2 linked regions of the Styela clava genome follow. The protein of the gene in region 2 purifies or fractionates together with the protein of the main gene of each other region. This does not show direct contact. Links are inferred from orthologs where the notes say so. Each region holds a gene or a part of one and is shown on either strand. Other genes may lie near its edges.

Evidence for each region. The genes of interacting proteins can lie anywhere in the genome.
Region 1: the proteins of dihydrolipoyl dehydrogenase, mitochondrial-like (region 2) and dihydrolipoyllysine-residue acetyltransferase component of pyruvate dehydrogenase complex-like purify together in Homo sapiens (affinity purification with mass spectrometry; 4 studies listed by BioGRID and IntAct, counting the BioPlex papers as one, with this or other methods). This does not show direct contact. The link is inferred for Styela clava from reciprocal best matches to the Homo sapiens genes DLD and DLAT.

What each region holds. Positions count from the first base shown.
Region 1 is NC_135253.1:17,064,068-17,067,826, reverse strand, and holds the start of dihydrolipoyllysine-residue acetyltransferase component of pyruvate dehydrogenase complex-like, read left to right. Parts: upstream 1-1,562; 5' UTR 1,563-1,654; coding exon 1,655-2,165; intron 2,166-2,717; coding exon 2,718-2,868; intron 2,869-3,158; coding exon 3,159-3,256; intron 3,257-3,698; coding exon 3,699-3,759. Other genes in the region: N(6)-adenine-specific methyltransferase METTL4-like, read right to left, coding at 1-36.
Region 2 is NC_135252.1:10,600,139-10,603,897, reverse strand, and holds dihydrolipoyl dehydrogenase, mitochondrial-like, read right to left. Parts: upstream 2,620-3,759; 5' UTR 2,616-2,619; coding exon 1,101-2,615; 3' UTR 397-1,100; downstream 1-396. Other genes in the region: uncharacterized protein LOC120343183, read right to left, coding at 171-305. UniProt on the Homo sapiens protein: Lipoamide dehydrogenase is a component of the glycine cleavage system as well as an E3 component of three alpha-ketoacid dehydrogenase complexes (pyruvate-, alpha-ketoglutarate-, and branched-chain amino acid-dehydrogenase complex).

The DNA of each region.
Region 1 (3,759 bases), on a different chromosome or scaffold from region 2:
TAAAATTCCATTCCCCTTGTGCTTTATAATAGACATCTTGAATAACAATTAATTAACCATTCAATCACGAATGATACCGGTACCTATTCCAAGAAAAAAACTCAAATGTCCACTGCATTATCTTTTGCTCGTACCGGTACCAGCGGTAGGATTAATCATAAGTGGCCTTTCATGGACGAGGAGATTGTAGCACGTAGTGTTTACAGTTCTTAATTTATAGGCGCCTATTATTAATGATATACGCAGTGGCGATTCAAATATCAGAATTAGGAACTGGCGTTTCTCGGGACTGTGTTGAAACAGTTCAAAGTTTACATTGGTCACATTTGTTTTTTTTTTGATTCCATTGCGCCATGTCGCGGAATATTACTGCGTGCTTCGTATTTGCTTTCCCATAGTAAGGTCACTCTCTTCTCTGACTAAAACGCAACACAAAACAACGAAGCAGAAGTTAGTTTCACAAAAGGGTAAGCTCGTTCTGTCGTTCGATTCATTGATTTAAAATACCCGGTACTCCAGTACTCTCTGGTCTCGAATTTATATGTTGAGATTAAATAAGATTTCGAATATGTCTGTATGTGTAGAGTCCAATGTTGAATGTAATCAATTTACATTTTTCAAATTAGTATTTGTTGCTTCTCCAGTGCAGTACCGGTACCGTAGTGATTGTATGGTAGTAGACTATCTGATATTACCGTATACATACATAAGAGGTGAAAAGACAAAAAGCAGTAACCGGAGCTCTGTGTGTTGACATTAACTTGATTTCAATGTGATTTGAAATTTGAAAACCTACCGGTAGTCTAGCGCAACGTTAGCTTACTTCTGTACTTACTGAAGGTGAATGCGTTATTTTGTTTGTTTCATTGTTTGCCGCTAAAATTGTTAGCGAACGTATCACATGTAAAATCAATTCTAATTGGTCCTGTTCGGTCATTCACGTTAATGTAAATTTGAACAACGTCTTTTTGAAGGTGTTATCTACAGAAAAGCATGGTTGGGCGAATAAGTAAATTCTTAATGCTTGAAAACGGCAGACTATGTCATTATTCTTTATTCCTCTTGCTGTACACAAAAAATCTAAATTCGGATCATTTGTATCGTTAGCGTCTATTCCTTTCTATTTTTCGAACTGAACCCAATATTTAGACAGAAAATATGTGCATGAACTCTCGATGACAATATGGTCAACAAAGACAGTTAGGGTAGCTTTAAATGTAGGCCTATGTAGTAAAATCGAAAACTGTACAGTTACAGGATCACAGCTAAGGGGTCGTATTTTTGGAGGCGTCCCGCTTTGAAGTCAAAAAAATATGGTAACCCTACCACTGACTGATGTGTCAAGTAAATTAGATATCAATATCAGCGCACCTCATTCAGTCATTGAATTCTAAAATTGAAATTCGTAGACAAATGCAGTCATCTTAACTGGATATTGGCAGTATTGGAGATTTTACACCAAGCTCAGAAGCTATGATTCAGGTTGTACTATCCACATGCATGACTAGGCTATATTATTCATTTTTAATTTAGTTCAGTTCAGTAGTTGTAATCTGACCAGGTGTTAAAATTTTCATGATCCACAAATATCTTTTATACAGTTATGTTTTAAATTTACTACATAGACTTGGAGTTCACTTAAGGAACATTCAACATGCTACGCAGTGCAAGTACCACAAGATGTGTGAAGGCTTCACTGCGTTTCATCGTCAATAAACCATCCAATCACATAATAACCAGTCGTCTACTGAGCACAAGAAGTTTGCACATTGCTAATAAATCTATCCAAGATGCCAACAGATTTCATACACAAAACCATGTCATGTGGAGAACTTCAAACATGCACTATTCTCCATTCACTTGTCATGTTCGATTTTATTCACTCCCATCATACACAAAAATTGATCTCCCTGCACTTTCTCCGACGATGGAAATGGGTACCATTGCAAGTTGGGTACTAAAGGAAGGTGATCATTTTGAACCTGGAGATCTTCTTGCTGAAATAGAGACTGATAAAGCAACAGTTGGATTTGAAGCGCAAGATGAAGGATATATTGCCAAGATATTGGTGCCTGAGGGAACAAAGGAAGTACCTCTCGGAACTCTCATCGCAATATCAGTTGATAATGAAGAGGATATAGCTGCGTTCAAAGATTTTACTCCAGGTATCTATGTGATAATATTTCATATTTTTATTGATGGAGATGCATGATGAATATTGGTGGATTGGATTTCTCAGAATCCACTTGAGTTTATCCAGTTCCCCTTTTTAAATGACTTTAAAATCAAAGTATGGCACAGTTCTCCGTTTTCAAGAATGCCCGGAAAGAAGGACATCTGACCTTACTATAGATGTGTAATATTGAGCTATTTTGCCTCAATAATATTATGATTCAATTGTGTGGGACGGCCAGTGAGCGAAACTCATTTCTGTCGTTGGTTTTTGCTAAAATTTCTGCATTAAAATGTTTTTTCCTGTAGCGAATTTTCATGGAATTCAAACGCGACAGTATAAAATTGCACTTGGTTTTAGTTTATTGAGCAGCTCTTGACTTTTCATTTTTGTGCTGTTATGGAGGACAGTGGTAGCAAGGAATCTTCTGGTATTTGTGAATGTAGTATACTGGATATTATGAATTCGAAATGAACTGACTTCAATTTCATTGATAACATGTGACTTTTGAATGACTATTTAATGATATTATATTTTTTTATAGATCAAGCTTCAGGTAGTGCCGCACCACCAGCCGCTAGTCCAACAGCTCCAGTTACGTCCCAATCACCACAGTCAACAACCTCTTATCCTCGACATGAACGAATTTCACTTCCAGCATTGTCACCAACTATGACCACTGGAACTATTGCCAAGTAGATTATTTTCATTTTGAATTATTAGGCTTTCTTGTTTAGGATATTTCTTAGGTTGTATTCTCATAAAAATTGAGCCAGAATGCTAAATGATAAGTTAATACTAATTTGATACAATCAACATGTAGACTGGTTGTTGTAAATAATGTTTGATTTAATGAATTTGACAGCCAGGTAGTAAAATTCTATTCCTGGATGAAGCACTTCAAGTCACAATGTCACGAGAACAACTATGCAGTAAAATTTGGGAAATTAGAAAATCGAATACAATTTTTCTCATTTGCATGCAGGTGGGCAGTGCAAGAAGGAGATAAAGTAGAGGAAGGTGATTTGTTGGCTGATATTGAAACTGATAAAGCAACAATGGCAATGGAAGCAGAAAATGAAGGTGACACTTGAAAAAATTTTGTCACAATGTTGAGCAAGGCTCATAAATCTTTTAACATAGCTTAACGGATAATTCACCATTTAGATAATAATGTTTTAGAATATGGGATGTAGAATATATGTAAAATTGGGCCATGTTCCTTATTAAGGAGCTTGTTAATCATTATATACACGAAGAGATCGAAGTCTATTTTTGTCTGATTGTAAGATGTCAAAATCTCCAAATAATGATTTTTTAAACAAAAATATCTCCTAATCCTCATTTTTCAAACAAAAACGTCCTAAATTATCCTGGATTAGTGAAATTGAATACATTCCTGTTCATCTCTTAATTTACAATTACTCTATAAAAAGCTGATTTGTTTTCTGTTTTTCTTAATTTCTACAAATGTAATCAATTTGTATTGAATAAGTAAGCTATATGTTATTTTTATATCATACAGGATTTATTGCCAAAATAATTGTGTCAGAAGGAACAAAAGATATTCCATTGGGAACATTGTT
Region 2 (3,759 bases):
CATGCCAATTAGCTATGTATTATTATCAATGGAACAGCAACTGTCAACATAGTCTTCAATGCTATAAAATTAAAATAACATCTACTTCACAGAACTGGCACTAAAAGTAAAAAAACTAAAATTAATGAAACAAAAAAGTAGTTTTTTAAACTGAACATTTCGCAACCCACCTCATCAACATCAATGTCCACAGATTCCCAGCATCCATAATCTGTAAATGCTTGTTGATTGTGTTTACTGTAACCACGAGTGTGAGTTGGAAATACAAAACTAGGATATTCACACATTTTTTCAAAATATTTCATCTGATCCCACGACTGCTTTTCCCATTATTGTGTATGGTTGCACTTGCATTCATGGTGACTTCACAATTATTGAATTAAAACAGCTAAAACACTAAATTTATGAATAATATGCATTTTTAACATAAAGAAAAAATAACTCTCGAATCGCAATGAAAAGACTGAAGATGACAAAAAACTGGAGGAAATGGAAACTCTTTATAACAGACCATCAATATGCATTTATTTTATTACCTGGCCAGATACAGAGATATGAAATTCTTGATTTAAACTAATTCAGCATCTCGCATCTTGCCAAGAATGGGCATGAAAACCATTCCCGGAAAAAATTTAACCAATATGCAAGATTGATAACATTGTGGAATGAAAACAAAAGAAATATTTTCGCACAAGTCCAGGGCACAAAGAATTGCAAATGAGAAATTTAAACAAGTGTGCGAGAAGAACAGCAGTCTAACTCCTTTTTTTGTAATGTTCGTTCATTACTTGAGGATCATTTCATATCATCGTGGCAATACCCATTAGAGAATAATACACAGTTGCAATAATGAAATGCTGTCATAAACAAAGACCAAAGTTTTCATATTAGTCATCTTAATAATTCCATATCTGGTGAAAACAAAGTATAAATGACTCAAAGAATAAATTGAATCAATTTATTACATAGCCATATTGTTGCCTATCCCATACCCTACATTGTGTATTTATCATTAAATATTCAACCTGTTTGTAAGAGTGAACTCATTGCATTATTTAAATATTTATATAAAGCCAAAAATATTTCCAAATAGATAGACATTAAAATGAATTGATTGGTTTGCCAAAATATGCAGCCAAGTTCGCTTCTCTAAAAGCTTCCGACAGTGTTGGATGAGCATGACAAACTCTTGCAACATCTTCAGATGAAGCTCCATATTCCATCGCAAGAACGGCTTCATTGATCATTTCGCCAGCACCTCCACCAATGATATGAGCTCCCAATATTCTGTCGGTCTCTTTGTGACTGAGAATTTTTACAAATCCATCAGTGTCAGCATTTGTCTTTGCTCGGCTATTAGCTGCGAAAGGAAATTTACCAACTTTGTAAGGAATATTTGCCTCCTTTAAATCTTCTTCAGTTTTGCCAACCCATCCAACTTCTGGGTGAGTATAAATAACAGAAGGCACACAATTGTAGTCAATATGGACTGGTGCACCAGTTAAACCTTCTACACATATAATACCTTCATCCTCAGCCTTATGGGCAAGCATAGGACCTGGAATGCAATCACCGATGGCATATATACCTGGACAGCTTGTTTGGAACCTTTCATCAACAGAGATGATTCCTTGTTTGTTTGCTGTTATTCCAACATTTTCTAATCCCAGTCCCTGTGTATATGGTCTACGACCGATACAAACAAGCAGAACATCACATTCTAATGTTTCTGGTTTACCTCCGGCTGCAGCCTCAACATTAACTTTGATACAAGAGTCTGTTTTATCAGCAGATATCACTTTCGTATTGAGTTTAAAATTCATTCCTTGTTTCTTTAAAGTACGTTGAAACGTTTTCGAAACATCCATGTCGATACCCATTCCCCCAACATGTCCAAGAAATTCTATCGCAGTTACTTCAGAACCTAATCTTGACCAGACAGATCCTAGCTCAACACCGATTACTCCAGCACCAATAAGAATCAATCTTTTTGGAATCGCTTTCAAGCTTAGAGCACCGGTTGATGAAATAATCCTTTCTTCATCAACTTCAATACCGGGGAATGGTGTAACTTCAGAGCCAGTAGCAATTAATATATTTTTTGTATTGATAACTTCACTATTTCCTTCTTCATTTGTAGCTATCACCTGTGTTGGACTTTTAATCATACCATGACCACGAACATGCGTAACTTTATTGAACTTGAATAATCCAGCAACACCATCGGTGAGACCCTTTACAGCAGATGATTTTTGTCCCATCATTTTTTCCAGATTAACAGAAACATTGGAAACTTCAATCCCCCTGGATTCAAAATCTTTTCCATGTGCAAGATGGTACAAATGAGAATTATTTAGAAGAGCTTTCGATGGTATACACCCAACATTCAAACATGTCCCACCTAGGGTTGGACTCTTTTCTACGCAAACAGTTTTCATTCCTAGCTGGGCAGCTTTGATAGCAGCGACATAACCGCCTGGTCCAGATCCTATCACTGTCAAATCGGCATCATGAGTGGCCGTTGCATTTGTCCTGGCATTCAAGCAATTGAAACCAAGTGAGGAACCTTTCGAAAGTCTACGAGCTAATGCAGAATTCAGTTTTAAATTGAACATTTTGGCTTAAATATAAACAATAAATTAGATTACTAAATAAGTACAGCATAAAAATCTGCAAAAAAGGACAATTCAAATGCAGAAATAATTAAATCTGTGTCATTTATAATTAGCCATTTATATCAGAAAGAAGTTTGTGAAGTTAAAACACAGGACCTATCAAATCAAAGCAGCCGCTGGCACAAATTTGCCACCACTGAATGTAAATACTAATTCAATTTTGTACAATACAGCCTTCAAAAATATCTTCAGAGCAATAGGAAAGTTTTCCAAGTTTCACATTTTACACAATGAATTGACAAATAGGGCATAAGATACAAAAAGTGGAAAAATTTTCTGCCACAACAGGCTATTTATAAATGAAAATAAAGTGACCAATATTACAAGTTTACAAAATTTGAAAAAACAATCGACAATTGAAAAGATGTTTTTATATTTTGGAAAATCCAAATCTAAGTTATGCAGTTGAAATTTTGCATTTTCAGAAAGATCAGGATTTATAATAAATTTCTCACAAAAATTTGCCGATATCATGATTTGATGAACAATGGCAAAATTCAGCACATTCAACAAGAAAATGAATTACAGAGAACTCAAACTCGTATGAGCATATTTATGTGGAAAAAATGCCGAAGTAGCTGCATTTATAAACCAGAGAAAACAAGAAGAAAACAATCAAAAAGAAGAATGTTATAATAAAAAAAGAACAACTGGGTAAACAAACAAGTATTCGACACATAAGTATGTATTTCTGCTTTCGTTTCAGTGAACAAATAAGATCTCAAAACAATGTATCTATATCTATTCAATCTATATTGAATCACGAACCACACAACATAATTAGAAATATCTCAATTTCAGAAAAGTTTTTCAGCAGGTCAATAATATGACAGAATTTAATAAATATACACAAATTTTCTAAATACTACTTTCGCTTAAGAATAGTTGTTTAAAATGAAATTTTAAAGTTTTTGGGAAGCCAAATATAAAGCATCTCAACATAATAATAAAGTGAATGAAATAATGTACATAGGAAAATGAAGACAACACCAACATATATCATAGCTTCTCATAAAGTCAGAAATTCATTCTCAAGGGGATACCACAAATTATAACCATAAAGATTCCTGATGCAAATACATTA